4 linked regions of the Pelodiscus sinensis genome follow. The protein of the gene in region 3 purifies or fractionates together with the protein of the main gene of each other region. This does not show direct contact. Links are inferred from orthologs where the notes say so. Each region holds a gene or a part of one and is shown on either strand. Other genes may lie near its edges.

The links. Proteins that work in one complex are often made in the same cells at the same time.
Region 1: the proteins of RBBP4 (region 3) and CBX5 purify together in Homo sapiens (affinity purification with mass spectrometry; 6 studies listed by BioGRID and IntAct, with this or other methods). This does not show direct contact. The link is inferred for Pelodiscus sinensis from reciprocal best matches to the Homo sapiens genes RBBP4 and CBX5.
Region 2: the proteins of RBBP4 (region 3) and BRMS1L purify together in Homo sapiens (affinity purification with mass spectrometry; 5 studies listed by BioGRID and IntAct, with this or other methods). This does not show direct contact. The link is inferred for Pelodiscus sinensis from reciprocal best matches to the Homo sapiens genes RBBP4 and BRMS1L.
Region 4: the proteins of RBBP4 (region 3) and SIN3A purify together in Homo sapiens (affinity purification with mass spectrometry; 11 studies listed by BioGRID and IntAct, with this or other methods). This does not show direct contact. The link is inferred for Pelodiscus sinensis from reciprocal best matches to the Homo sapiens genes RBBP4 and SIN3A.

What each region holds. Positions count from the first base shown.
Region 1 is NC_134729.1:1,218,481-1,225,952, forward strand, and holds the start of CBX5 (chromobox protein homolog 5), read right to left. Parts: upstream 3,018-7,472; 5' UTR 2,863-3,017; intron 2,782-2,862; exon of another isoform or gene 2,649-2,781; intron 1-2,648. Other genes in the region: HNRNPA1 (heterogeneous nuclear ribonucleoprotein A1), read left to right, coding at 3,787-3,870, 4,483-4,599, 5,072-5,218, 5,990-6,200, 6,317-6,409, 6,507-6,605, 6,970-7,041, 7,351-7,470. UniProt on the Homo sapiens protein: Component of heterochromatin that recognizes and binds histone H3 tails methylated at 'Lys-9' (H3K9me), leading to epigenetic repression. In contrast, it is excluded from chromatin when 'Tyr-41' of histone H3 is phosphorylated (H3Y41ph).
Region 2 is NC_134714.1:47,686,218-47,693,474, reverse strand, and holds the start of BRMS1L (breast cancer metastasis-suppressor 1-like protein), read left to right. Parts: upstream 1-4,240; 5' UTR 4,241-4,329; coding exon 4,330-4,465; intron 4,466-7,257. UniProt on the Homo sapiens protein: Involved in the histone deacetylase (HDAC1)-dependent transcriptional repression activity. When overexpressed in lung cancer cell line that lacks p53/TP53 expression, inhibits cell growth.
Region 3 is NC_134735.1:3,390,372-3,397,491, forward strand, and holds the start of RBBP4 (histone-binding protein RBBP4), read right to left. Parts: upstream 3,004-7,120; 5' UTR 2,981-3,003; coding exon 2,845-2,980; intron 2,757-2,844; exon of another isoform or gene 2,629-2,756; intron 1,037-2,628; coding exon 889-1,036; intron 1-888. UniProt on the Homo sapiens protein: Core histone-binding subunit that may target chromatin assembly factors, chromatin remodeling factors and histone deacetylases to their histone substrates in a manner that is regulated by nucleosomal DNA.
Region 4 is NC_134724.1:34,507,284-34,514,388, reverse strand, and holds the start of SIN3A (paired amphipathic helix protein Sin3a), read right to left. Parts: upstream 3,018-7,105; 5' UTR 2,954-3,017; intron 1-2,953. UniProt on the Homo sapiens protein: Acts as a transcriptional repressor. Corepressor for REST. Interacts with MXI1 to repress MYC responsive genes and antagonize MYC oncogenic activities. Also interacts with MXD1-MAX heterodimers to repress transcription by tethering SIN3A to DNA.

The sequences.
Region 1 (7,472 bases), on a different chromosome or scaffold from region 3:
TCGGAGTGTTACAGCTAAATACAAGTGTAGAACAGGTAAGGAGTAAACATGTATTGCAAGCGGCCACTCAGGATACATCCACACTGCAGAGCTATTTCGGGATACCGGAAGTATCCCAAAATAGCTATTCCATGTCTATTGAAGCAGCCCGTTATTTCGAAATCAATTTTGAAATCACAGGCCGCTTATTCCGACGTCCTGGTAACCCTTGTTCCATGAGGGTTATGGGGCATTTTGGAATAGTGAGTTATTTTGAAATACACTCAAAATAAGCTATGCAATTTGCGTAGCGCAATTTGTGTAGCTAATTCTGAGTGAAGAGTGCTGTATAGACACACCCGCAGAGAGAAGTGAGCAACTAACTCTACTACAGTCACAGGACAAAGAAGAAACAGTGGGTTACAGATAGTTATGAGCCACTATAACTTCACATCCTGTCTTATTCCAGATTAATTTTCCCATGTGCAGACAAACCCCAGAGCCTGCTGTAGCTGCCCCACCCGTCCTACAGACGGGATGGTCCCTCATAATGACATTAGCCCACAAGGTCCAGGATGGGTCTGAAGGATAACTTGGGGGAGGGGGAGAGGAGGAGGGCTGGCTCTGGGCAGTAGCAAAGGTTGGCATCCCTATCCCACTCACAGGCAGCCTGCTCCACTCTGCCGCCATCTCCCAGTTAGCTCGCTCCACTTCACTGCAGCAGCAGGAAGTGGAGTGACTCTGGTTCCACTTCGCTGCAACAGCAGGAAATGGAGTGACTCAGCTAGGAGATGGGTAGCAGGGCAGAAGAGAAAATGCTGCTGGGTACACAGTGGGGGGGGGGGGGGGGGGACTTGACCCTTGCTGCTGCCCTATGCCAAACCCCCTGTAATCTCACAGATAGCATCACCTGGAGGCAGGGGCTTTGGGAAAGGGTTGCATTGGAGGCAAGGCAGGGACAGGGCTTGGGGAAGGGGTGGAGTAGGGGCCGGGCGGGGCAAAATGGGTTGCAGAGCAGAGTACAGTTTGTGGCCCCCCAATCAGGCAGCCATGGATGGGCAGTTACAGAGGATGGTGAAGGTAGAGAAAGGAATGAGGGTTGTTTGAGGGGAGAAAGGGCTGCCTGAGAGCTATAGATCTTTGTGTGGGAAGATGAGGAGGGCTAAAGGGGGGGGGATGTTTTCAGGGGACAGGGCAGTAGAGCTGGGGGATTGTTTGCAGGACATGGGTGGGGGGAGATAGGGGAATTGCAGGGAATCTTGGGGAGGAAGTTGAAGGAGATCCCAGGGGGGTAGTGACAAGCATAAGAGGGTGCGTGGCAGAAGATTGGGGGGAGGATATAAGATCTGTGGTGGGCAGCTGGTGGGGTGAGTTGCAGAGGATTTTTCTGAGGAAGAGATTTGCAGGGGATCCAAGAGATGGACACAGAGGATGCAGGGCATTGGAGGGAGTGCATGAGGGGAGGTTTGCAGGAGACTGGGATTAGCAGGAATTGTGGTTAGTGGGATTTATAGATATCCAGGAGGGACTGAGCAGTAGGGAACAAGATGTTGCAGAGAACCAGCTGGCTTTTAGCTCAAGCTGCTGACACACTAATCCAGAGGTCCCAGGTTCGGTTCTCACTAAAACAGCAGGCAAGTGGGGATAGGGAGAACCCCAGATGAAGGGCTGTTGACAGAGAAATGGAGGGGATCTCAGGGAAAAACAGCAGGGGAAGGGTTGAGGGGGAGCACAGGGACTATTGCAGGGAACAGAGGGGCTGAAGGACAGGACAGGGCAGGGCAGCTAGTACAAGGGGTAGGAGCAGCATGAGAAGCTCGTGGGGAGTCAGCGAGGGGGGCTGCAGGAGCAGTGAGGGGCTGACAAGGATCTGGGTGGGAAAGGGAGGAGGAGGGGCGGGGGGAGAGGGCAGCACAGGAGATGTGGCAGAGACAGAGCTGAGAAGTTTCCAGGACAAGGGAGCGCAGGAATGCGGGGCGGGAGCAGAACGAAGGATTTACAGCGGGACTGCGGGAGGCCGGGGGGGAGGCGCAGAGAGGGGATGGGGGGCACAACACGGGGGGGTTGTAGCACGGGGGCGGGGGGGGCACAGGCCGAGGAAAGGGCAGGGTGGGGGGGGCAAGGCAGAGGCACGGGGGGGAGGCAGCGGGGGGCGGGGCGATGGGGGGGCACCGCCCGCGGGGGGGGCAGGGCGGGGGATGGGGAGCGGGGGGGGCAGAGGCCGAGGGGGACGCGAGGGGGCGGGGCTCGGCTCCCCCAGCCCAGACTCGGGGGCGCGCCCCGTGTCCCAGCCGCCTCCCCCCCCCAGCCCAGAGCGGGGCGCCGATTGTCCCGCCCATCGGGAGGAAACAACCCGACACCGCGCGCCCTTTGGCCCGCCGCGCCATCAATCAACCGGGAAGGCCCCGCCCTTTCCCCCCAGGCGGCGCCCCATTGGCGCAGCCGGCTGCCACTCCCAACTCCCGCGCGACGGGCACCAGCACCCCCCACTGCCCGTCACGCGCCTCTGCCCCGCCCCCGCCCCTCCATTGGCCGGCCGAGCTGTCCGTCAGTGGCCGCGGGCCCGCCCCCTAACCCCTTTCATTCCGCACAATGAGCCCGTCTCCCCCTCCGCCCCGAGCCCAGCAGCCCGATGTCCCGGCTCAGCCGCCCCGCCGCCGCCCGGGTACCTGGGGACGAAGCGGGTCCGGCGCGGACTCCCCCCTCTCGCAGGCCCTCAGAGCCGAGGCCGCTTCTGCGCAACGCTCGCCGCCCGCCAAAATAGCCCCCCTAGCGCGCAGGCGCCTGGCTCCCCGCACGGCGCATGCGCGGCCCGTCCTCTCCCTCCCCCCGCCTCTTCGGGCGCTTGCTCCGGGTTCCGCTAGCGCATGCGCAGACGAGCACCTGTGGGCTTTAGTCCCTTTTTCCCGCAGGCTGCCAGGCAGGAGCCCGGCTCCGCACGTTCCACAGAGGCAAAGCGCGCGGGCTGGTGCTAGGGAGAAAAAGCCGCTCGCCCCCCGCCTCAATGGGAGCCGCCTCCGCCCCCACCCGAGTGATTGACACTGCCGCCATCCAGTCAAGTCCCACGTCTAGCGGCAGCAGCCAATCACTGCGCAGATTAGAGCGGGACTGTCCATGAGCGAACCAATCAGAGGCGAGCTACAGCCTCTCGCCAGTAACGCGGGAAAAGGTTGGGGGAGGGAGGAAGGGAGGGAAGGCACGCACGGCCACGTGATGCGTCAATAGGCGGGGCTTACGCAGGCTTAGCCAGTAGGCTGTAGCAGTGGGTGGGTCACGGATCTCCTCCGCCAATGAGATGTGTCGGCCTCTCGTGGCTATCCAATCGGAGGCGGGGAGGGGGTGTGCCCCGACCGCCGCCTCCAATGGGAGCGCGCGGCGGGCGGGGCTCTAAGAGGGGGCGGTGGAGTGAGGCGTCGACGCTCTCGTCATTCAGCCCTTTCTGTATCGGCGCCTCGCGGAGGAAGCATCGCACGCGCAGCACTTCTGAGGCGGAGGCCCGCGCCCGCCCGCCCCCGCCATGTCCAAGTCCGAGGTGAGCCCGGCTCCGGCCGCCATTTTCTCCGCTCCCCGCCGCCGGCGCGGCCTCCCCTGGGCCCTGCTGGGGCGCGGACCTCGCCGCGTTCGGCCGCGCCTTACGCCTTTCAGGCCTGCTCGGGCTTCCGTCCAGCCCGCGGAGGCTCCCCCCCCTTCTGCGCCTGCGCCGCCTCAGCCTTCGCGCCTGCGCTTTACCCCCCTTCCCAGGTGGGCGGCCCTTCGGCGCCTGTGTGGTGGGGATATGGGGGGGGGGAGTGAGCCTCCCGCGCTCCCATGTGCGCGTGCGCGCCCGCCTTTGTGCAGAGCCGGAGGAGCGCCATGGCGGCCGGGCGAGCGCGTGGCGGGCCTCGCGTGCGCGTGCGTGGCGGCTCCCGCGCGCCAGGGCTGCAAGCCCTCTAGGGGGGAGGGGGGGTTGGTGTGCACGGGGGGGGCCCTCTGCGGGGGGAGGGGGAGGGGGGGTTGGTGTGCACGGGGGGGGCCCTCTGCGGGGGGAGGGGGAGGGGGGGTTGGTGTGCACGGGGGGGGCCCTCTGCGGGGGGAGGGGGAGGGGGGGGTTGGTGTGCACGGGGGGGGCCCTCTGCGGGGGGAGGGGGAGGGGGGGTTGGTGTGCACGGGGGGGGCCCTCTGCGGGGGGAGGGGTTGGTGTGCACGGGGGGGGCCCTCTGCGGGGGGAGGGGTTGGTGTGCACGGGGGGGGCCCTCTGCGGGGGGAGGGGGAGGGGGGGTTGGTGTGCAGGGGGGGGCCCTCTGCGGGGGGAGGGGGGTGGGGGGGTTGGTGTGCAGGGGGGGGCCCTCTGCGGGGGGAGGGGGTGGGGGGGTTGGTGTGCACGGGGGGGCCCTCTGGGGGGGGGAGGGTAGCCTGTAAGTCATTGTGCAATCTCTTGCTCTGGGCATCTCCTGGGGAGGGGGGAGCAGGGGACGGGCCCTGTTGGCTGCTCCTTCCTGACTCGTTTTTGTGCCTCTTCCCCAGTCCCCCAAGGAACCTGAGCAGCTGCGCAAGCTCTTCATCGGCGGCCTGAGCTTTGAGACCACAGACGAGAGCCTGCGGGGCCACTTCGAGCAATGGGGCACGCTGACAGACTGCGTGGTGAGTGCCTGGCCCAGAGCATCCTCTGGGTGTTAGATAATAACATTCAGATGTGGGGGAAGGACTCTGATTGCATGGCCCGGCTGCCTTTTTTTTTTTTTTTTTTTTTTTTTTGATGCCACGGGAAGAGCTGAATAATTTGTTTTTACTGACATCTGTAAACTACTGTTCCAGGGGAGTAAGGGGTCTAACGGCAAATTTAGGGTTAGACGGAATCCTGCAGAGGAATGGCCATGCTGTCCAGTAGCCTCTGTCTTCCAAGGGTGGCTGGTATCAAATGCAGTTTTAGAGGGAATGAGCAGAACAGGGAAATTACCAAATGATCCATGAGGTCCCAGCTTTGGGCAGAGGGAAAGTTGTAGGGCAAAGCTAGTGCTAAATAACTTTAGATGTTCCTTTGTTCTCGTCTTTATGCCACCTGTTTGATTCGTGTTATTTACTGTGGTTACTAATGGAGGTGTGTCCTTTCTAGGTAATGAGAGATCCAAATACCAAGCGCTCCAGGGGCTTTGGGTTTGTTACGTACTCTACGGTTGAAGAGGTTGATGCCGCCATGAATGCTAGACCACACAAAGTTGATGGCAGAGTTGTTGAACCAAAGAGGGCTGTATCCAGAGAGGTATGAATGAATGTTTAGTCTAACCATGCTGTTTTCATAGCCTGAAATTGGCTCACTGTTAGGATGAACTGATCCAGTGGGGCTCTGTAGGGAGGAGTTGAGGTTAAAGTGACCATAGTTTGGCTATAACCCAGGGGTTAAACTGAGGTGGGTCGTTTCCATTCTCTTTGTGGTTTGGGGAAAGCAGTACCCTGCTTACATTAATCGTGCTGTCTGTAACTGCCAATGCTGCGTTTCCTTGCTGTGCTGTCTACCAGAATATGTACTTAAAGCAGGACCACATTAGTAGTTACTACAGGTTGGACCTCCCTTGTCCGGTACCATTGGGACCCGACTGATCCCAGATGAGGGATTTTTCACAGGTCATTTCTGGCCCCCTGCTGTCTCCCCCACCCCCACCCCCTCGCTTTTTTCACAGCTCAGCTGGCTCCCACACCAGCTTTTGCCCTGCCTCTTCTCTCTCTCTCTCTCTTCCCCCCCCCCCCTTCCCTCGGCCAGGCTCCTGGACCCCCCACAGTGTGCCAGGACTGGGACATCTTGGAACATCTGTGGCCCGGAAGGGTTAGGGTTAAACCATTCTGGTTTATAGAGATGCATCCTGTACAAGTAATTGTAAATGGGGACCAGTTTAATTTGTGGTGGACACGTATCACGATTTTGCATTGTCTCTGTCTTTGAGCAATGGGACTGTTGCATTTCGAACCACTGTTTATGGAGCTCTAAAATTGTACATCTCAGATAATGCTTGAGCTTGCCCTCTGTCCTGTCTAGGATTCTCAGAGGCCTGGTGCTCACCTGACAGTGAAGAAAATCTTCGTGGGGGGAATTAAGGAAGACACAGAGGAACACCACCTGCGAGACTACTTTGAACAGTACGGCAAAATCGAAGTGATTGAGATCATGACAGACCGTGGGAGCGGCAAGAAGAGGGGCTTTGCATTTGTCACCTTTGATGACCACGACTCTGTGGACAAGATTGTTAGTAAGTTCTCTGCACAGCTCTGTGAACTGTAAAGATTGTATAGCATTGGAAGGGGACCCGTCCTGGGTTTCAAATCAGGACACGGTGACAGTTAACGTCTAATTCTTCCCTTCCAGTTCAGAAGTATCACACTGTGAACGGCCACAACTGCGAAGTGAGGAAAGCCCTGTCAAAGCAAGAAATGGCCAGTGCATCATCCAGTCAACGAGGTGAGTGCCAGTTTCCCATCCATTGCTTTGGAACTCATCCAAACCGACCTTTGGCAATATGAGCCGTGCTGCTAACAGGCGCTGCTCTCTTCTTTAGGCCGCAGTGGCTCTGGGAACTTCAGTGGTGGTGGCGGCCGTGGAGGTGGATTTGGTGGCAATGACAACTTCAACCGTGGCAGCAACTTCAGTGGTCGTGGTAAGGGACTTTATGGGGTCCTTTTGATTCAAGTTCTACGGATATGGTCAGGCTAACAAAACTCCAGTTTCGGCCCCTAGGTTAACCCAAATGGCTGCTGCAGTTTTGGCTATGGATATTTTTTTAACTTGATTTGGGCACTGGACTAAGTGTAATTCTCCTTGTTTGGCTCATGCGTTCAAACCAATGCTACAAGGACTTGTTCAGGTACCGCTTGGAATCCCTGATTCCCTGCAACAACCTCCACCAATTGACATGTCTGCTTCATTCTGTAAAAGTGGCTTGCCAACCATATGCCCTGGGCCCCAGCACCTGGCAGTGTCCCTCCTCGGATAGACTGAACACAAAGGTTTGTTCTTTTCAGGTGGGTTTGGTGGCAGCCGCGGTGGTGGCTATGGAGGAGGTGGAGACGGCTATAATGGATTTAGCAATGAGGGTAAGGCCAAAGCATAACTCCCCTGACACGGCAGTGGCCAAGGTTGCCTTGTTTCCAGGCTCCATGGTGCCAAGCCCAGGAAGAAGCATGAGGAAGGCATCTCCACTCCAGTCCCTTGGCCTGGTGGACGGCTGATAGAACAGTTGTGCTGAGTGTGTTGCACGGATTGGTGACGGTTTCCGAGGCAAATCTCTTGATTGACCAGCACACGTGCTGGGATCCGTGCTCAGGGGAGTCTCTAGTTCTGTCCGTGGACTTTGGGCTGTGAAATGCTTGAATTCAGCAGCTGTGTGTGTGCATGTCTTGTAGGTTACGGTGGCGGCGGCGGTGGCGGCCCTAGCTACTCAGGAGGAAGCAGAGGTTACGGTGGCAGTAGCAACTACGACGGCTATAACAACGGAGGGGGCGGCTTTGGCAGCGGCAGTGGAGGT
Region 2 (7,257 bases), on a different chromosome or scaffold from region 3:
TAATGTTGGGCCCAGTCGTGCACCATCCCATTTTTGTGTACATAGCCTCTTCCAGCTCTGAGACCAGGGGACCTGCCCTAGATGTGGCCGTGAGGATGTCACCTGAGCCTGAACGGTGTGGTAATTAGGCTACAAGTGATGCAGGGGCCACATATTGAGAACCACTTGTTAGACAAACACCTATCAGGGATGGCCTAAATAATACTTCGTCTTGCTTCAATGCAGAAGCCTGGATTAGATGACCTAGCAATGTTCCATTCTGGTTCTGTTTTTACAATTGTACATATAAAACTGGGAAACATCACAAAAGCTCCTTTTTAATTTTGTAGAACTTAACATGTACAAGTATATTTCTTCTACTTTCTGAGATTGACAATGGACATATTTTCTATCTTTTTTCAAGGCCACAAAGCTTGTTCTTTCCACTGAGGTGGTTTAACTAGTCCTTCTCTCAACCATAATTATGACATTATTAGTAGTAGTAGTAGTAGTACTAGTAGTAGAAGTCCAAAACACTGCAATAACATTTTTGTATGATGTAGTGTCCTGGAGCATTACTGTGGTATGTTTCAGTTAACAAGCCTTTTGGATGGGCAACTAATTGCTCAATTTACATGGTCTTTGACAGGATTGGGCAAAAGGGCCTCTGGGGGCCAGATCTGGCCCACCAAGCAGGTGGATCTGGCCTGCGGAGGCTCTGCTGCTTCCCCGCCCCCAGGCCAATTAAGGATTTGAGATGGGGGAGTGCCCGATGCCTTTTCCGCTCTGCCCCCGCCCTGCGAACAGCGTGCGGCAGGGGCAGAGCGGAGAAGGATTTGTGTGATCCCCGCCCCCAGGCCTTAATTGGCCTGGGGGCGGGGGAGAGCATGAAGCCTCCTCCCGCCCTGCCAGAAGCATGTGGCTCTTTGTAGCGCTATATGCTGCTCACGGGGCGGAAGAGGGGGGATGGGAGAGAGCAGAGGAGACTTCGTGCACACCGCCGCCCGCAGGCCAATCAGGGCCTGGGGGGTGTGGGAGCTGCATAAAGCTTCCTTCGCCCTGCCCAGCCTTGCGAGGAGCCCAGGGCACTTCATAGTGTCATGTGCTCCTAGCAGGGCGGGAGGAGGCTTCCTGTGCTCTCCCGCCCCTAGGCCCTGATTGGTCTAGGGGTGGGAAAGCATGCCAAGCCTTTTCCAGGGCATGGGTGCCTAGTGGGAAGAGGGGGCAAGGGGCTCCTCCATCCCCAGACCAATCATGGTCTGGCGGTTGGGTAGCCCTGCCCCTTCCCATTTAGGCCACATTCAAAAACGTTTGCAGTGGCCCCCGGGGAAAAATTATTGCCCACCCCTGGGCTTTGATCAATACTATAATGGCCTTTTACTTATCTGGTGTAGACTGGTGAACTAGCTGAATTTGGATTAGGCCATGGGAGAAGGGAAAGCAACATGTATAAGGGAGGATATTTGAAAAGCAAGAATGTGTTACAGAAGATTGACAATGGAATAGAGAACCCAATTATGAGGTTTTTAGATTCCATAGCAGTTGAATGTTCCTGGCTGAGAGGATGAGCTGCTTTCTGAAGATTCTATGGTGGGAAAAGAGAAGCAGTAGATTTCAAAGCAATAAAATATCAAAGCAATAAAATGTAATTTGATGGTATTTTGTAACCATTAATAAAGTATTTTATTTAAACATTGTCTTTGCTAGGAGGGTTTCCCTTGCATAGGTATACTAAACTTAGTTAAATTGCAAAACCCTCTTGTTTTTTATCTGCAATTAGAAGCTTTGCTGGTATAGCTACAGCTGTACTAAGGTTTTTACCAGCTGAGTTATGTAGGCAAAAATTACACCCCTAACTAACATAACTATGATGGGAAAACTTCTAAGTCTAGACCAGGTCTGTTATGTTTATTTTTAGTTACATTAGGCAGTTCACAAATACAGAGGATAAGGTAGTTTAACATTTTTTTTGTATTATTGAATCGCTTATTATGCATCAGTCTAAATACAACAGGATAGGAAAATGTCTGATTATTGGGAGATTAGTTTCAACAGCACTTCAGACTCCTCCAACGTATCTAGGTGTTCAGTTTCCAAACATGTATATCTACATAGGCTCATCTCTTGGCGCATGTCTACACAGCAGTGTTAGTTCGGAATAACTGACATTATTCCAAAATAACAAAGAGCACATCTACACTATTAGCCTTTATTGTGAAATAATGTCGAGCTGGAGCACTTCTTACTTCAACTCTAATAAACCTCATTTTATAAGGAGTAAAGGAAGTTGAAGGAACAATGTTCTTCCTTCTACTTCCTGCTGCGTAGATAGCGCCTAAAGTTGAGCTAAGCTATTTTGATTTAAGCTATGTAATTGATGTAGCTGAAGTTGCGTAGCTTAGTTCGACTTTAGCCCTGCTGTATAGATGTACATACTAATCCAAAGGAGAAACAGACAAGACAAGAAGTATTACATGAGTCAGAAGATGGTGATTTTTTTTCTTTTTGCTTTAGTGTTTGTTACTTTTCCTTGTCATCCTTCCATGATCAATGTGTTTTAGTACTTGTGGGCCTCATTAATAAATGTAATAATTTACACTCTATTACAGGTCTTTCTAGCTGCAGTTTAATAAAACAATGGTTAGTAAGTCTGTCACATACTTAAACCTTGGTTTCCTATTTACTACCCATCCCACCAGCTATCTGCAGTTGTGATTTGGAACTCTCTGTGTGAGAACCCCTGCTCCAGCTGATGCTAAACACTTCACAAAGTATCTTTGAATACATCCCAGTCTCATTTAAGGAAACATTAATCTCTGAAATTAATAGAGAAATGTTGTATTGTGGATTCTTACATGGATCCCATTGTTACAAAACTCTTTTGACATCTTGCCTTATTAGTGTTCTAAAGTAGAGGAGGAAAGTCTACTTCAGTTTCTCTGGTATGTATAGAAAGGTATTATGTAATTCACAATGTTGTGGGTAACAATTTTAAAGAGCAGTGAAATACATAATGATTAATGTGGATAAAAGAGCAGAGCACTCCACTTTAAGATAAATAGGTGAAGGTGAGTTTCAAGTTATTATTAATTATTAATTAATAATTTAATTTAGAAGCTTGAATGCTTGTCCAAGACTGATTGTCTCAGCGGAAGTGAAGCCAATGAAACTCTTGGGCCTTATCCCCAGAAATGCAACTTATTCACCATTGAAAAGTTGTGTGCATGTATCTGTGGAAAAATATGGACCTTTTATTTAAGAGCAAATATAAAACATAGTTTGGGTGGGGAGAAGAGACAGCTAGCTCCTAGGTGCCCGTTCCTACTTCTCATCTGCCCAAAGTTTTTTCTTCTGAAGGTTCAGTCATCTGTGTCCCTCTTCTCTAGTTTTTGACCTCCATCCTTGCTACCTGCTTCTGCTTCCTTCCCAAGGAGTTTATCAGTTTTGAACAAACCACCTGGATACCTCCATTATTCAATCATTTCTTATCTGAACCCCAAATTTGAAGCTGTAGAGATTTAATCTTATGTCGTGGCTCAGCCTAGGATATGCCATGAATTTTTGTGATCTGTCTAGTTCAGGTATAAATGTATTAGTTAATCTGAAGTAAAACTTAATTAAGTAATTGCAGATAAAAGACAAAACAATACCAAAAAACTCCTTGTAAGCATTTTGGAGAATTACGGTTTGAATAAACTGAAGTTTATATATATATATATATAGTATAATGATCTTTTGTGGGCAAAACCCACTTCTTCAGATGAGATGATGAGAGGATCTTGAGTGGAGGGAAAAAAAGGGGATGTAGGGTTCTGATACTCTATGATCATTTGCCCAAGTGCCAGTCAACCAACCCAACCATTTCACGCTGTCTTCATCCAAGGCTGACAAGAGCTGCAACCAGCCGAGGGCTGGCATATTCCTAGCTCTAATTCATTAACTGTAACAATCGAGAAGTCTTTCAATTAAATCAGCACCTTTGCTGCAAAGGAGATTCCATGGAAAGATGGAAATTCCCTAATTCAAAGTGCTCACAAGCCTCAGCCTGGCAACTCCGCTATCTAATCCATGTCCATGAAGCCACAGCGAGTCTTCTCCAGATTAACTACAATTACCATAGTGCTTCGCGCAACGGCCAACCACACCAACTGCGTTCGGCGGGGGACACGCCCACTCGGGCCAATATGCACCAATAAGCGGCGCGAAGAGCCATGCGGCAGGCACTTGGGTTGCGTTGTGTGGCGTGCGGGAATGGCGCGGTTTTACTGAGGGGCGGGCAGGGGGAGGAGCTGCCGGTGGTGGCGGCAGAGGGAAGGGCGGTCCCGGCGCTCGGCGGCATCTCGGGGGAGGATGCCGGTCCATTCCCGGGAGAAGAAGGAGAACAACCACGATGAGATGGAGGTGGATTATGGGGAGAACGAGGGGAGCTCCTCGGAAGAGGAGGAAACTGAGAGCTCGTCCGTGTCCGAGGAGGGGGACAGCTCAGGTACCGGGGACCAGGGGCTGATTACAGATGCTGGGGCAGGGCGGCCGCTCGCTCGCTGGATAACGGTGCGCGCGGGGTGTGGGTGTAAGCGACTGTTAATGCCTTCGCCACAGTCTGCCCCAGCCCCCACCCGGCAACATCTGACCCCGCCCCTCCGTACGGCACCGTCTGCCCCGCCCTCCCGACACGCCCCCCCCCCTCTCCCACGGCTCGCCCCCGGCTCCCCTGCGCTGCAACTTCCGAATCGCTCCTTGGAGGAGCCGGGGCGTGCAGCCCCCCCCCCCTTCCCTGCTGGGCAACTTGTGACACACACAACCCTTTACTGGGGGCTCGGCCTGCCTGTCCCGTCTGCATGGTAGCTTGTGGATACATCCCTTCTCCCTTGTATGGCAGCGTATGGGTCCCTTCTAGCTAAGGGAATGGCCTTCCCCTTCTTCCCTGCTTGGCTGTTTCTGAGGCGCTTCTTTTCCCAAGGATACCTCCCTGCCCGCCGTTCATTCTCTTTACCTCGTGGTCACATGCTGTGCTACCATGCTCCCTCTGCATGTCAGTTTCTTCTTGCCCTATTTGCCTGATGTGGGGGCACTTTCCCTTTCTGGCAGTTTCTGACATATGCCCTTCCTGACATATGCCCTCTCACCTTCATCCTGCTCCTTCCCTGTATGACAGCTTTTCCTTATCTACCTTTCCTTGATTTAGGGGGTCACTGTCAGCTTCTTTGCCCATGCCCTGCATAGTACCTTCTCCTCAATCCCGCACCCCCACCTTTTGATATGGGAAGCAAAGCGCAATCTCCCCTCTCCATTTACTGCACTGTAGCATCTTGTCCCCTCCCAGGAGTGTGTGTGTGTGTGGGGGGGGGGGAGGGTATATTTGCCAACTCTTGCATAATATTGTCTTGTTCCCCATTTAAGGCTTTTTGAAACTGTTTAAAGAAACTCTAGATAACTTGTTATGAAAAGTTCCATAGAAAAGACTTGCCAAAGAATAAGTATAAATTTTAAAATACCACATATCACAATAAATATCCGTTAATAGTAGTGGTGGTCCAGATATGAAATGCACAAGATGGGTGAAGTGATGTCTTTTATTGGACCAACATCTGTTGGTGGACAGTACAATCTTTCCAGTAATACAGAGCTCTTCTTCAGGTCAGGAGAAGGACTTCAAGAGTGTCTGAGCTAAATACAAGTTGGGACAGACAAGCTTAGGGGTTAATGAATAATATATGCCTTCCAGCAACATAAGTTGGTTCAATAAAAGAAATACCTTAGTGTCAATTTTTCTGTTGTTTTTTAAGTTACTGTATTGCTTCTAATAAGCAAAAAGCGAGGTTGAGTTAAATAGCAAATTCTGCTTTAAAGCAAGAGAAGGAGGTTTGGCTAAAATGACATTTTGATAAGCTCACAAATTATTCCCAATTCTTACCTTCAACTTCAGCTGCTTTATTTTATCAACAGTTGTCTGGAAGTTAGATAATCAATGCACTCTATGCTTGAGAATCAAGATTCCTCCAAGCTCACTCCCTTGAGTTTAGAAATGCTATATTAGTGATGGATGTCAAAGTCACAAGTTATGTTCATCATTCCAGTATCTCAGTTTTGGCCACATTTTATAGAAGAGCTAGTTCAGAATTTTACTGTTGGCGCTGTTTTTACTATCTCCACCTTTAAACCAGGCTGCTCTAATTACCGTGTGTGCCCCCCCCCCACTCAGTCTTTGAATGGAGAAGAAATTTTAGAAACCTATCCAACTTACCAAAACAATTCTGCCATGCGTAAGTGATGATTTTTAATGTCAGATACCTTGTGGTATCCCAGGTCTAGAAACAAATGATCTTGTGAAATGAGGGATTTGATATCCCTGTCTCTAACTTCTTGCATGATGGGTAGTGAAATATCTGATACTAAACCAGTTACTTTTCTAAGACTGACTATTACCCATCGTGCTTGTCAAGTTTATGCACCTTCAGGGAAGAAATATCACATTTTGGGAGTTGAATATAATAAACTACTGGCAGTATTTTTAAAGATACTTTGTAGCTATTTGGAGTTTTGAAATGTTACCAATAATCCTAGTGGAGATGGATTAGTTGGCAGAGTGCAGGTGAGGTAGTCAGAGGTTCATGATAAATCCAGGTGAACATGAGGGTGATTTCATGTGTGATTGTATAAGTGAAACTCTGTCTTCTGCTTGGTGGAAAGTCAGACTTGCTTGAATATGTATGTATGTATGCAGCTATAGAAATGGAGGGCCTATGGTTGTATTAGTTGCAGTTGGAGGAGGGTACTATTCTCCCACATCTCAAGGTGGTGCATTCCACATTGTAGCAAATGACAGGAGTACACATCTAAGCAACCCAGTATGCTGTGCAGAAAGGAAAGGGTCCAGAGAACCACTGATTCTCAGGCATGATTGGAGTTGATGTTGCTTATCTTGATTTAAACTCCCTTGACATCTGTTTATAAAGTAAACAGCTGCTGATTAATTTAAAACAAAGCAATAGTTACAAAAATACTGAAATATATCTAGAACCTAAAACATACTGGAGACCCATCTGAATAATGGAAGATATTTTAACACCTTGTTTGCCTTTCTACTTTTGTGAGGCAGACCTCCCGAGGAGTAAATTGATGGGGTAGTTATATTAAGGATGTTAAAAAGCGGGTAACTGACTAATCAGGTAGTTGATACAATTTGTATCGACTACACGATTAGTCAATAAGGGGCCCTGAGGCTCTGCAGTTTAAATATGATAGGAGCCAGGTGTGCAGGCAGCCCAGCTTCTATTG
Region 3 (7,120 bases):
CTGCAGCACTTTAGCTGTCCCCCCTCACTGCCCAGCTGCTCCTGCCCAGAGCCCCTGAGCTGCTCCAGGAGCCTCCTGCTTATTGTGCAGAATGGGGGAGACAAGAGGCAGGGAAGCATTGATGTCACTCTGTCCCCCTCTTCTGTACCCCATCTTCACAGAGTGAGGAGGGTGAGGCCTTGCAGAAGGGGTGAAGCAGGGGTAATTGGGTTTCAGGTAGATCCTGGACTGAAATTCAAAGAGTGAGCTTGTGCTTAAAAAGGCTGGAGACCACTGTCCTCTCTCATACTGGAGTCCTTATAGCATCAAAGTTCACTTGTTTTCTTTGCCCATCTATAGTATCTCTGATATTCCCCCAAGGAGCTTCTAGTGGAGTAAAGTCTTGAGGTTTATTAGCACTTTGAACAAGCAGAAGATGGAAAATAAATTGGTTCAGTAATTTAGGGGGATGACAGTGATTACTTTTAAGTTTGTCTCTGGGGTAGGATGGACAGGAAGAGATCAGAGAACAGTTATACAGCCGGTCCTCGAGTTACGAACACGATCCACACTTACGAACAGTACGGCCGCATTTAAACGAATGGGGTCCGACTTACAAACAAATGGAGTTACAACCAAGTGTTTGGTACGTAACTTGTCAGTAAGCAGGGGACCGGCTGTACTTTAAATAGAGGTGAAAATATTCTGCCAAACAGCAGTTCATTTTTTAAACAAAAAGGAGTGGAGATATTGGTTAACATGGTGTGCCGTAACAGTCCTCAACTCACTAAGGATAAGGCAAGAGCACAAATTGCTGGTCATGGAAGACAGCAACTACAGAGTCTTGATGCAATGTGAAACGCGATAGTGACTTTTTTCATCATTCAAAAAGTCAGAGGATAAATTTACCTTGTTACATCAGGAAGCCACTGAGCAGTCAAGCTGGGCCACTCCAGAGCATGGGTCATTACCAGATCATACAGGAAAGGAGTGTTCTTTTTCCAAATTTTATATTCCTCATTGATCACACGTTCCTCCACCGCATCATCAAAGGCTGCTAAAGTTTTTTAAAGATGCACAAAAATATGGACAAGTATTTATAAATGGTCAACAAGACAATGAATGTACATGGGGAAGCTTTTTTGGGTGGGGGGGGGGTCATTGACCCACAGAAGAAGAAAAAAGTCAGTCAGGGGCCACACACACAGGTGAGAACAAAAACAAAATCTTCACACACCCTGACGTGGCCGCAAACTGAGAAGGAGAAAGACTCCCCACCTCTCCTCTCACACACCAGAGCCTTGAAAGGGCCCAGTTTAGTAGATTGTGTGCTCCAGCTCTGCAGTGGGGGGGGGGGGGGGCTGAAGCACTAGCACAAACTCCCCAACATGAAGCAGGGGGGCCCTGAGCCTCAGGGGCTGGATCCAGGCAAGCCAGAGGACAGTTCCCTGTGCATGCAGCCCCTGTGCATGAGGTTCCCCACCCCTGGCTTATCTGATAGCAACACTACTGATGCATACACCATACTTCCACAAAAAGCCAACTACTAGATTAAAAAACTCCTGCAGCACATGCAATCACCTCTCTCTTCAGATAAAGAAGTCTAATCTAGAACCAATAGTTGTAGGAAGCAATACAAATTAAATACACAAGGAAGCAATGCCTGGGCTCACTTCATACTAGAAACAGCCCCATTAAGGCTACTAGTCCTAAATCAACCAATAGAGTCCTGTCCATCTCTCTTTGTGAGACAGATGAGTTGAATCTACACCTACCAACTCACCCTTCACTAAAAGTTACTTTAAAGAAGGTGCAAAGCTCTCCACAATTTAGAGCAGCATTTTTTTTTCCTGTAAAAGTGGTTTCATTGAACATTAAAAAATAAATCTCTTTAATACTACGCAGGTTCGAGCGACCTAGGAATCCCATAAAAACGCCAAAGTAAATATGGGATTAGACTCCAGATTAAGGATGCAAAACCCCAATTCATGTGTTAATTGGTTAAAAGTGATGTTTAACTAGTTAACCGCTTAAATGGGACCAGATTGAGGCGCACCCATGCTGCTCCGGTCGGACCTGCCCGTCGCATGCTAGGCTTGAGCGTCCCCCACCTGCGGCAGACCCCGCTGGGCGGGAACAGTCCCTGCCCGCATCAGGCCGGGGGCTGCTCCAGGTTAACGGTAACCGGGGGCAAGGGGGATGCTGACCCGTTCAACATCCCCAAAGCAGCCTGAGCGAGATCGGAGCCCAACACGCAGACCGAGGAGGTTTGGGGGCCGCAGGTGGCAGCCTCCTGGCCTCCCCTCGGGGCAGAGCGCGCAGCAGCAGGGGGCGGCCCAGGGAAGCGGGGGGGGGGCACGAGCCAAGCGCACTCGCGGCCCATTGCAGCCCCCCAGGGAGCGCGGAGCGGGAGCGCATCTTGCGCGGCCCCGCAGTGGGGGGGGGACCCCGGAAGGGAACCTCCTGGAGACCCCCAGGTGACCCCCCCCCACTGGAGCAGGCCCTGGCGGGGACGGCGCGCCCGAGGGAGGCGGGAGGGGGCCGCGGCCTGACCCCCCCCCCCCCCAACAGAGACGCGCGCGGGTGGAGACACGCCCCCGTCCCCAGCCTCGGAGCGGAGCCCCGCCCCCAGCCCTTCCGGGGAGGGCTGTGTCTCGGCGGGGGGAAAGGGGGAGCAAGGGGGGGGGCTCAGAGCAGCTCCCCAGAGACCGAGGGCGCGGCCCCTCCCCCCGCCACTGAGGCAGCCCCTCCCCCCGGCAGGTTCTCCACAGCCTGAGGTAGGAGCACAGCGCGCGCGTCCCCCGGAGGGGGGAGGGGCCCCCAGCCGGCCGGGGGCCCGCGCCTCAGCCCCGCGCTCTCGCCTACCCTCCTTGTCCGCCATGGCGAAGGTGCAGGCGGTGCGGCCAGCCGGCTCCTCGCCTCCCTCCGTCCCCGCCAGCCGCCGCTCTATTGTTTCCTGCCCCCTGCGTGCGGCTCCGGCGCCGCGCGCCCTTCGCGCCATCGGCCGCCAATCACAGCCCACTGCCCGGCCCGCGCGGCCAATCCGAGCGCCGGAGCGGGCTCGGGGGGGGCGGGTCCAGAGGGGCGGTGAGCGCGCTCTCCGGATCACGTGGGAGGGGGGAAGGCGCTAGCGGCTGAAGTTCCCCTGGGAGCCGCCATTTTCCAGTGTAGGGCATCTAGGGGGACATGGACCCTGGCTCGTGCGCAGGTCTTCTTAAAGGGCCAGTCACCAACCAGTGGTCACCTGCATACAGACACTATGGCTGTGTCTAGACTGGCAAGTTTTTCTGCAAAATCAGCTGCTTTTGCGGAAAAACTTGCCAGCTGTCTACACTGGCCGCTTGAATTTCCTCAGAAGCACCGACGATCTCATGTAAGATTGTCAGTGCTTTTGCGGAAATACTATGCTGCTCCCATTCGGGCAAAAGTCTTTTTCCGAAAAACTTTTGCACAGAAGGGCCAGCGTAGACAGCTCAGCTTTGTTTTCCGCAAAAAAGCCCCGATCGCGAAAATGGTGATCAGGGCTTTTTTGCGGAAAAGCGCATCTAGATTGGCACGGACGCTTTTCCGCAAAAAGTGCTTTTGCGGAAAAGCGTCCCATGCCAATCTAGACGCTCTGTTCCGAAAATGCTTTTAACGGAAAACTTGGAAAACTTTTCCATTAAAAGCATTTCTGGAAAATCATGCCAGTCTAGACGTAGCCTATAGAGTATCAACTTCTAGCCCTTGTGTGTGCCTCAGTTGGGGTCAGCCTGGGGGGTGGGATAAGCCATTGCACCCCCTCCTGCAGGTACCACTGTGGAAAACTATTTCCAGATGGGCATCCCTGCAACGCTCTGGCCTGGCACTGCATTAAGTGCATTTCCCCTAATAGCTGGGGTCATCCCGTGTCATTGCATGGACGTGTCCCATCTGCCAGTACTATGGTACTCATCTGAGCAAGTGACCGAAGGGTAAAGCCCACCTAGTGTTCCAACACTACTACCACTATCAGAGGGGTCGTCGTGTTAATCTGTGTCTGCAGAAACAATGAGGAGTCCTGTGGCACTTTAGAGACTAACAGATTTATTAGAGCATAAGTTTTCGTAGGTAAAACCCACTTCATCAGATGAATTGGAACGCAAGTTACAAAAGCAGGAGTATATATAAGGGAGAAGTTACTTGTGTTAATGAAGCTAATCAAGCCAGGGGGGGAAAGTGGATTATTCATACGGTGATCATATTTTCTGAACCAAAAAAAGGACACATTGGCCACGCCCCCAGCCTCATTAGCCACATCCCCTGATCTCTTAGTCCCTGCCCACCTGCTACATAAAGTCCCACCCCCGGAGGTAGTACTTCCAGGGTTAAGATGGACACATGACTGGAAGTAAAGGGTATCGTGTGACGCCTCTAAGAACTCCTCCCACTGTCCTCTGCCAATAGGGATGGGTTTGGCCCCCATAGGACCCTCCCATGCAACCATACTGAAATTGCATTAATCCAACTTGCATTGCATTAACTCGGGGGAAGAGGCCAGGGTTGCCTGTATTTCAGTGGCTCTCAAATTTTTTGGCCCATGAACCACCTGGCTCAGTGTAAACCTTTCTGCAGACCACCATTTGCTAATGGAAACTCACTGTGAATTACGTAATTACTCTCAAGCCGTTTTGCTAGTGCTGCAGCTAGGGAGAATGGTTTGACTTAAATTGTTAAATAGATTAAGCGTTTTAACTTTCTTGTGTTAGTTTATCAAACTTCATTTTAAATACAGTAAAATATTAATTTATGACCAACACAAAAGGTTTCAATTTTTTCTTTATTTATGGCAGGGGGGGGAACCTTTTTTGGGTTGGGGGGCCACTAACCCACAAAAAAATCAGCTGGGGGCCACACAAGCCAGAAGCAAAAAAATTCCTCCAAAAACCCCCAACCCACACTGAGCTGGCCCTTAACTGAGACACCTCACTCTTCTGGCATCCTAGCCCCACAGGGTGAGGGGATGGGACCAAGAGGAACGAGGTTCAAGGAAAGGATGTTAAATTGCGGTTATCAAGCTAATCGTGTAGTTGAGGGTAGCTTCAGGAGCTGGCTCAAGCTGAGACTCAGCAGTCCTGGCTCGTGCCGGGTCTGGGAGCCACCCAGACTGCAATTCTGCATTTTAAATGTAGTAAGAGCTGCCGGACTCTTAGTACATTTAAAATTCAGAGGTGTAGCAACCAGCACGAGCCAGGAATGCTTGGTCCCGGCTTGCGCTGAGTCCAGCTGCCCCTGTTCACGTCAGACAGCCCAGGCCACTGTGAACAGGGGCTGCTTAGCGGCAGCAACCCCGTCGTGAAGGGCTCAGCTCCTTGTTGGCCTGAGCAGCCCCTGCCCATGGTGAGCCTAGGCTCAGGCGTGGAAAAAAAAGGGGGTTCCGTGTGCAGGACAGGGCTGCCAATGTGTGGGATAGGGATGAGGTTCAGAATCTGGGAGGTACGTGCAGAAAGGGGAGAGGTTGAGACGTCTGGGTGGGAGGTTGGGTGCAGAGACAGGCTGGGCATAGGGTCCCTGACCAGAAAGGAGGGTGCAGGAGTAGTCTGGGGGTAGGGTTTCTGGCCAGGAGGGAGGATGTCTGGCCAGGAAGGAATGTACAGGAAGGGGTTTGGGGTAGGGTGTCTGGCCAGGAGGGAGAGTGCAGGAGCAAGGGAGGGTGTCAGAGCAAGCCAGGAATGCAGGATCTTAGAGGGGGGAGGGGAGTGAGTGAGGGGGATTTGGGTGCGGGGCCTTAGCATGAGGGGGGTGCTTATCTGGCTTGGCACCCCATTGCAGCAGGGAAAGCCTCCAGACTGCACGCTGTCATTCCCCCTGCAGGGGGGAACAGAACAGGAACTCAGTCCCCCCCCACATGCAGCGGGGATCCCAGTGCATCCACGGGGCTGCAGCACCAGGTCAGGCTTCCCACTGACAGAGCATGGGGGTGTGTGAAGAAACCCCAACATACCTCGCCAGACCAGGCTCACTGCCATTCCCCCAGCGGGGCGGGGAGGGGTGCGGGGGAGAGAGAGCGGCAGCCCGCCCCAAGGATTCTGCGCGTCCCCTGCCGGGGCTCAGGCAGCAGTTCAAAAGTGCTAAAGTTCGGGAGCGGCTACTCAGACCTTGGACCCGGCCATAGGGTTGCCAGATGGTTTCAATAAAGATACCGGACACACTTGATATGACATCACAATCTACATTACATCTTATTTAGAAAATACCGGACATTTCTATTTTCTCGTTTCTATTTTCTCAACTTGTTTCCCGAACAGAAAGCTCAAATACTGGACTGTCCAGTTCAAAACTGGACACCTGGCAACCCTACTCAGCCACCCTCTCTCTCCCAACATGAGTGGCTGCTGTAACAAGCCACCGCCTGCACGTGTGGAGGAGGAGGCTGTACAGCTGGACCCGGACCCCATCTGACAGAGGCAGTCCCATGGAGTAAGAAGGGGGCTGTGCGGTGGTGGGGCAATGGGTGATGAAGTGGTCAGAAACTACGTGCCACCAAAAGCCCGCCCCAGCTGGGAACACGCTGTTGATGCTGCGCCGCACCTGGAGCAATGGACTCACAGTCACTTCTTCCCGTTTGAGTCCCCGTCAAGTAGTGGGGGACTTTCCAGCAGGGCTTTCCAGGACATTTCACTACTTGATGCGGGACCAGGAAAGAGTCCTTTAAATCAGGACAGTCCCGGAAAAATCAGTATGTATGGTCAACCTAGTTATTCATAGTATTTGACGTGGAGATGTGACTATTCAGAGAGGGGAAATTGCCTTTGTAATGAAGTTCAGGAATGGTAACACACATAAACCTGTAGGGATACATTTTAACCTCCTTGGACAGTCAGTAATGGATTTGAACGGATTTAAAAAACCGGATACAAAGGGAGACAGCTGACCTGGAATTCATTTACAAATTCAACACTATCAATTTAGGATTGAATTAGGATCTCAACTGGTTACCGCATTACAAAGGCAATTTCTCCTCTCTGGATATTCACATCTCCATACAAATGCTATAAATGACCCACTTCCACCCTGACTTGATTAGCTTCATTCACACAAGCAACTTCTTCCTTAAATATACCCCCTGCTTCTATAACTTCCACTCCAATTCATCTGATAAAGTCGGTTTTTCCACAAAAAG
Region 4 (7,105 bases), on a different chromosome or scaffold from region 3:
ATACATTGTACGATCCACAGCAAAAGTGCTTTACGGCCACTTTAACCCATAGTCGGCTTGTGACGGGCTAATCTATCAAGGATCTGAAAGGAATCGCAGCAGGGGAGGAGCTGGTACGCGCTCAGGACACCAGTACTGGGGGAGGCCACCGACACCTTAACAAAATGTTTGGAGAAAAGTTTCCCTTAAGTCTTTCCCATACAAAGAGTGGAGCGGGGAGGGGCGGTAGAACCAAGCATTGGACCACAACTCTACCTTCCGGCTAGATCCCAGAGAAGGGGCAAAGAAGCAACTATGCTTCCTCGAGGCAGTCCAAACATTCTGGCACCAAACTGGACTTGGAAGGAGCGAAAAGAAATTGGGAAAAGGTGGGGGAGGGGGCTCGATTCATGCTGCTGCTTTTTTCCCCCCTCAATTGTCCACCTCGGGGGCGCACTGGGCAGAGCATGGGGCGGAGTGCGGGGCATAGACGCATAAGCGGGGATCTCTAGTATTTGAGATACTGTGCCAGGTAGATTCCTTACAGTCTCCGAGTTAAAAAACTCCGGAGTGAGCCCAGTCTGGACTTCTCCCGCTCAAGAAAAACGTGAAGCATGGGGCAAGGAAACAGGGCCGCCAAGTGTTTTTGCTACCAAGCTTTAAGAGCAGAGAAGGAAGCTGGGATGACTCTCCCGCCCCCCCAGGAAGCTGGCCTGGGATAGCGTGCAGGGAGAGAGCTCCCTCCGAAAATATCCTAAACAGTCACCGCTGCCCTTTGCTGTGGGGAGGAGGGATTTGATTAGGAAAGAGGCATCCTAGCAGGTGGCCCAACCCCCAGCAGGAGAGCTTGTCGGGGGATGGGGGAAGGAATGCCTTTCCCTTTGCCGGGGAGCTCATCAACTGACTGATCTGCGGGAGAATCCTTTTGTCCCTAAGCCCTGCCCCGCATTAACTGCGCAGCTTCACTTCCGGGATGGCTGCGCCCCACGTGGGGCGGATCTATTACACGTGGGGGGAGGACGGGGGAGACACCGGACCTGCCTTCTCCCCCTCCCCCATTCTCCCTCCCTTTCGGAGACAGAAAGGAGGTGGGTCGATGTTTTCGTTTCTACCAATCAGCTCCAAGGAGAGGAAAACATCCCTCCTCCCTCGCCCCGCCGGAATTAGGGAGCCCTTTGCCATTTGGGGTAGGAGGGGAGGGGAACACCAGCCTGAAAAACAGCCAGGACTTCAGCTGGGCGGAGCGATTTAGGAATCCTAGCCAATAAGGAAGAAGGGATGGCTCTAGTTCTCCAATAGGAGAAGGGCTCATCCCGCCCAGTGACTGTACGGAGGGGGAGGCAGTGCGTGTGCTGCGTATTCACTCTAACAGCTCCCCTGCAGTGGCTCGGTAGGGAACGCCGCTTGCATAGCTGAAGGAGCAAATAGCAAAGGAGAGGGAAAGCGGCTCAGGCTGGCAGGACGCGGAAGTGGATTCCCGCATTTGGGCTGGAGAGGCAGAGTCCCCTCCTTTTCCTCCCCAAATCCACGCCTTGTAAACTGTAACGCTAACCCTTCCCTTTCCAGCCAGCTGCTTCCGCCCCGCACAAGCCAGTCTTGCTGGCGGCCGGCGCGCGGCCTCACTCACTTGGGTAGCACGAGGAAAGCCCTTTCCTCCCTTGAACCGCGAGTCCACCATGGAGAGGGCCTGTCCGTCGCGGTAGTTAATTCCAGGCAGATTACTCCACACCCTAAACCTCCTTCCCTGTCTCCTGCAGCTGATGATCGCCCTATCTGCAGCGTTTCCTTTCCTCGGGTCAGAGCCGGACCAATTCCCCCCCCCCCCCCCCCCCATTCCCGACCTTCCCAGCTCTTTTGCTGCCTGAAACTACTCTGGGCCACCGTGCACGAGAGCAGCAAGGGCCAGCCGACTGCGAGAGAAAAGGGGATAGCCCTACCCCGAGGCTGTCCATCTTTCCCTCCCACCGGCAGAGGAGGCGGGGTGGAAAGATGCAACTCCATGTTTGCAAAGGGAATCAGGCTCAATCCGCCGAGGGATGAGAGCAGGAAGGCTACTGCTCCGGCTTGGGGCGCAAAGTGGGTTCGGGGCACAGGAACTAGCGAGCGTTCGGCAACAGAACATTAGCGGGTTCGGCGGTGGAACGTTCACCCCCCGCCTGGCTACTTTGCGTTCGGCAACGGAACGCCACGGCAGCTGCGAGAGGCTCCGCTCGGACCAGCGGGGCTTCAGCTACGCTCGTTTTAGCGTGATTTTAAAAATAACAATCACGCAGCTGCCAGTTCAGAGAGAGGGAAGCTGGAGCTGCAACCCGCGCCCCCCTGCAGGCGGCTGCCTCTTGGCAGATCCATTCACCCGCCCCCGCCCCAACAAGTTTCACGTAGAGAAGCACAAATCTACGGGTGCCGATTCCGCCCTCCCTGCGAGTAAGACATCCGGCCTTGGGATTTGTAAACTAGATCCACGCTCTGGCAGCGCCTGCAAAACCACGCACCGAGCTGAGCTGCAAAAGTCACCCTTCAATCTACTCCTCAAACTCCTAAACCTCCTCGCGGGACCCCGACCCGCAGCGCAGCTTTGTTTATGCCAAGCAAAATAAGGGGCGGGGGAACCGAGCTGTCCTTGCTCCTCCTCCTTCTTCCCCCGAACTGCATGGAACCCAGCGCGTTGTTAAACAAACACCAGCAGCACGCACACCACCCGGCCAAACGCCTGCTCTTCTCGGATCTCCGGACAGAGACGAGGGCAAAAGGCAAAGCTAAACCCAGGGGGAAACGGCTTTTAATTTCTCCTCTCTTCCTCAACGGATCCGCCAGCTCAGTCCCTCGCCCACCCTGATTCGCAACAGCTCCTCCTACCGCCCCCTTTCTCCCCTCGGGTTCTGGCCTGCTTTGGGCCGGGAGGTCTTAAATCCTCACCTCAACCCTCAAAATGCCCAATATTTTTGCGACTAAATTGAAAGCAGCTGTTACATACCCTCAAAGCCCAGGCGAGGAGTCCTGAATGGATGGGAACGCCCCCCACGCGAGATTGGCCTTTCGCTCAAACGCGTCACTTCGATCCCGCCTATCAGGGGCGGGAAAGCTGGAGCCAAACCTGCAACCTAGGTCACGCCCTCTCCCCAAAACACGCAGGGCTTTGTGCAAAAGCGGAGCTCGGTGCCCGGTCGCCGCTCAGGTCCGTGGGACATGCGCCTGCACGTCGGGGAGCGAAGTTAGCGCTCGCAGCCGCTTCGCTTTCATGTCTCGCTGCACTTGAAGCACTTTCGGAGCCTACCTGTTACCGTGCTAGGAGCACTTTGGAAAGGCAAAGTCCTAGGGCCAAGGGAGCGGTGCGGTCGTGCCGTGATTCCCGCCTTGGCAGCCCGGCTGCAGGCAGCGCCGCGAGTGAGTCTTTTCTGATACACTGTGCCTTGTCCTAGCAGCTTCCACCCAAGCATTAACTCCTGTAACTCCATTATCCTACTTGTCTACTGTCTTCACCCTGCTCTCTTAGGACAGCATGCAAACACGCAAGGCTGACCCTTGCAACAGGCCTTGGGGTGAGAAGTAGATATATTACCCTCATAGGGAAACTGAGGCACGGAGCATAAATGATTTGCCTGAGAGCTGTGGCAGACTGGGGAGCTCTGGTCTCCCAAATCTCAATCCTCTACTTTACACTGCTATACCAACCCATGCAGGACAAGACTCTCACAAAGAGCACAGGAACCTGTTTTGGAAGAGCAGTGGGAAAGGCTTAGTGAAAAGGTGAGCGTCAGGAAGGAGCGTTCTCTTCTCCACAACTGTTGTATACAAATGCATAGGACTTATTATTATTTGTATTATTGTAGCACCTAGTAGTCATGGACCAGGACCCTGTTGTGCTAAGCGCTGTACAAACCCAGAACGAAAAGACAGGTCCCAGCCCAAACAGCTTGTTGTCTTATCTATAATCTATATACAAGACAAATATACTGATGGCTTCAGGAAGATGGGGGAAGAACAGGAAAACAATGAGCCATGACTGGTCCTGAACACCTGTAGACAGTAACAACTAATCCTATGGCACCTTAAAGACTAAGGCTATGTCTACACGGGCATGAATTTACGGAAATGCTTAAAACGGAACAGTTTTCCGTTATAAGTATTTCCGGAAAAAGCGCGTCTACATTGGCAGGATGCTTTTCCGGAAAAGCACTTTTTCCGGAAAAGTGTCCGTGGCCAATCTAGACGCGCTTTTCCGCAAAAAAGCCCTGATCGTCATTTTTGCGATCAGGGCTTTTTTGCGGAAAACACTACTGTGCTGTCTACACTGGCCCTTTTCCAGAACAGTTTTCTGGAAAAAGGGCTTTTGCCCGAACGGGAGCAGCATAGTATTTCCGGAAAAGCGGCTGATTTCTTACAGTAGATCGTCAGTGCTTTTCCGGAAATTCAAGGGGCCAGTATAGACAACTGGCAAGTTATTCCGGAAAAGCGGCTGATTTTCCAGAATAAGTGGCCAGTGTAGACACAGCCTAACAGATTTATTTGGGCAGCTTTTGTGGTTAAAAAACACTTTGTCAGATGCAAGAATGTGTGTCAATGGCTGGAATCCTACGGTGAATTTTGCAAGATTGGGGCCAAAGTTTGTATCCAATAACTGCAGACATGTTCCTTTTAGATTTGCTTTGTTCATTCGTTACTTAGACTGTAAGCAACTGGGGGCAGAGACACCTATGCAGTTGAACTGGTAAACAGCAGGTTTACTCAACTAGGAAGGCTCCTAAGAGAGATTAAAGTACATTTCCAGGGCTCTAAGCAATGGATCAGTGATCTGCCCAGGATGTATCAACAGGTAATAAAACTAAAACTTGGTTTTCTGCACCTGTAACTCGAGTGTAGATCATAAAATCATAGAATACTAGGACTGGAAGGGACCTCGACAGGTCATGGAGTCCAGTCCCCTGCCCTCATGACAGGACCAAATACTATCTAGACCATCCCTTATAGACATTTATCTAACCTACTCTTAAATGTCTCTAGAGATGGAGATTCCACAACCTCCCTGAGCAATTTATTCCAGTGTTTGACTACCCTGACAGTTAGGAATTTTTTCCTAAAATCCAACCTAAATCTCCCTTGCTGCAGTTTAAGCCCATTGCTTCTTGTTCTATCCTCAGAGGCCAAGATGAACAAGTTTTCTCTCTCCCTCCTTATGACACCCTTTTAGATACCTGAAAACTGCTATCATGTCCCCCCTCAATCTTCTCTTTTCTAAACTAAACAAACCCAATTCTTTCAGCCTTCCTTCATAGGTCATGTTCTCTAGACCTTCCTTCTTCTCTAAAATCATTCTTGTTGCTCTTCTCTGGACCCTCTCCAATTTCTCCACATCCTTCTTGAAATGCGGTGCCCAGAACTGAACACAATACTCCAAAGCTATGTCTACATTGGCGGCTTCTTGCACAAGGCTTCTTGTGCAAGAAGTCTTGTGCAAGAAAACGTCCACATTGCCCATGTGCAAGCTGTGCTTTTGCGCAAGAGTTCCCATGGCAGTGTAGATGCTCTCTTGTGCAAGAAAGCTCTGATGGCCATTTTAGCCATAGGGCTTTCTTGCACAAGAAATCCCTGCTGAGCATCCACACTGCCCTCTTGCACAAGAGCTCCTGCGCAAAAGGGCTTACACCTGATAAAAAAGAGCGTAATTCTTGCACAAGGAGCCCTCTCTTACCACGCCGTACTGTAAATTTCCTTGCGCAAGAGCGGGCGGGCAGTGTGGACGCTCTGCAGATTCTTGTGCAATAACAGCCGTACTTGCGCAAGAAGCCGCGACTATAGACATAGCCCAACTGAGGCCTAGCTAGCGCAGAGTAGAGCGGAAGAATGACTTCTCGTGTCTTGCTCACAACACTCCTTTTAATGCATCCAAGAATCATGTTTGCTTTTTTTGCAACAGCATCACACTGCTGACTCATATTCAGCTTGTGGTCCACTATAACCCCTAGATCCCTTTCTGCCGTACTCCTTCCTAGACAGTCGCTTCCCATTCTGTAGGGCTACGTCTACACTGGCCCCAAATTCCAGAAAAGGGATGCAAAGCAGGTAAGTCAGAATAGGGAAATCCGCGGGGGATTTAAATATCCCCCGCGGATTTAAATAAACATGTCCGCCGCTTTTTTTCCGGCTTGGGGAAAAGCCGGAAAAAAGCATCTAGACTGGCGCGATCCTCCGGAATAAAGCCCTTTTCCGGAGGATCTCTTATTCCTACTTCAAAGTAGGAATAAGAGATCCTCCGGAAAAGGGCTTTATTCTGGAGGATCGGGCCAGTCTAGACGCTTTTTTCCGGCTTTTCCCTAAGCTGGAAAAAAAGCGGCAGACATCTTTATTTAAATCCCGCGGGGTATATTTAAATCCCCCGCAGATTTCCCTATTCTGAAGTTTAAAATTAGCATGCCCCTTTTGGAAAAGGGGCCAGTGTAGACGTAGCCTATGTGTGAAACTGATTGTTCCTTCCTAAGTGGAGCACTTTGCATCAGGTACATTAGCGGTAGAAAATAATCACATCCCCAGACTGGTCAGTGTTTGGTTCAAGTTTGCATATACATTATTGGCTCCACTAGTATATACAAATAGGTAGCTGTGATTTAAGTGTACATGTAAAGATAGCTCATGTATGGCATGATCCCGTACAGTGCTGAAGACCTGTACACCACATTTACTTCAGTGGGAATTAGAGTGATTGGTACATCAAGGAGGTTGTTTAGCCTGGTGGTATCTGTAAACCAGTTGACAGGTGTGGGTTAACATCTGCTAATGTGAGTCTCACCTTAGCTAGTCTCTGGTTCATTTTCTATACTTTTTGTTCTTCCTTGTTTTTAAAATGAGGTAACAAAAGGGAATCTCTCTCAGCACAATATGCTAATTTGAAACACAACCAGGAACTTCTGACTTCTGAAGCCCAGGTTCTGACACAAGGAATGTGTCACTAGACTCTCTGCCTCAGTTTCTCTGTCTGTAACACTGGACAATAATTCTTACTGCTTCACAAGGTGTAGAGAGCGGTAATGAATTAGCAACTAAATTGTTTTGAAGATAAGAAGCACAATATGTGTGCTAATGAATTACAGCTGTGTGTATCAATAGCCAGAATTCTGCAGTGAATTTTGCA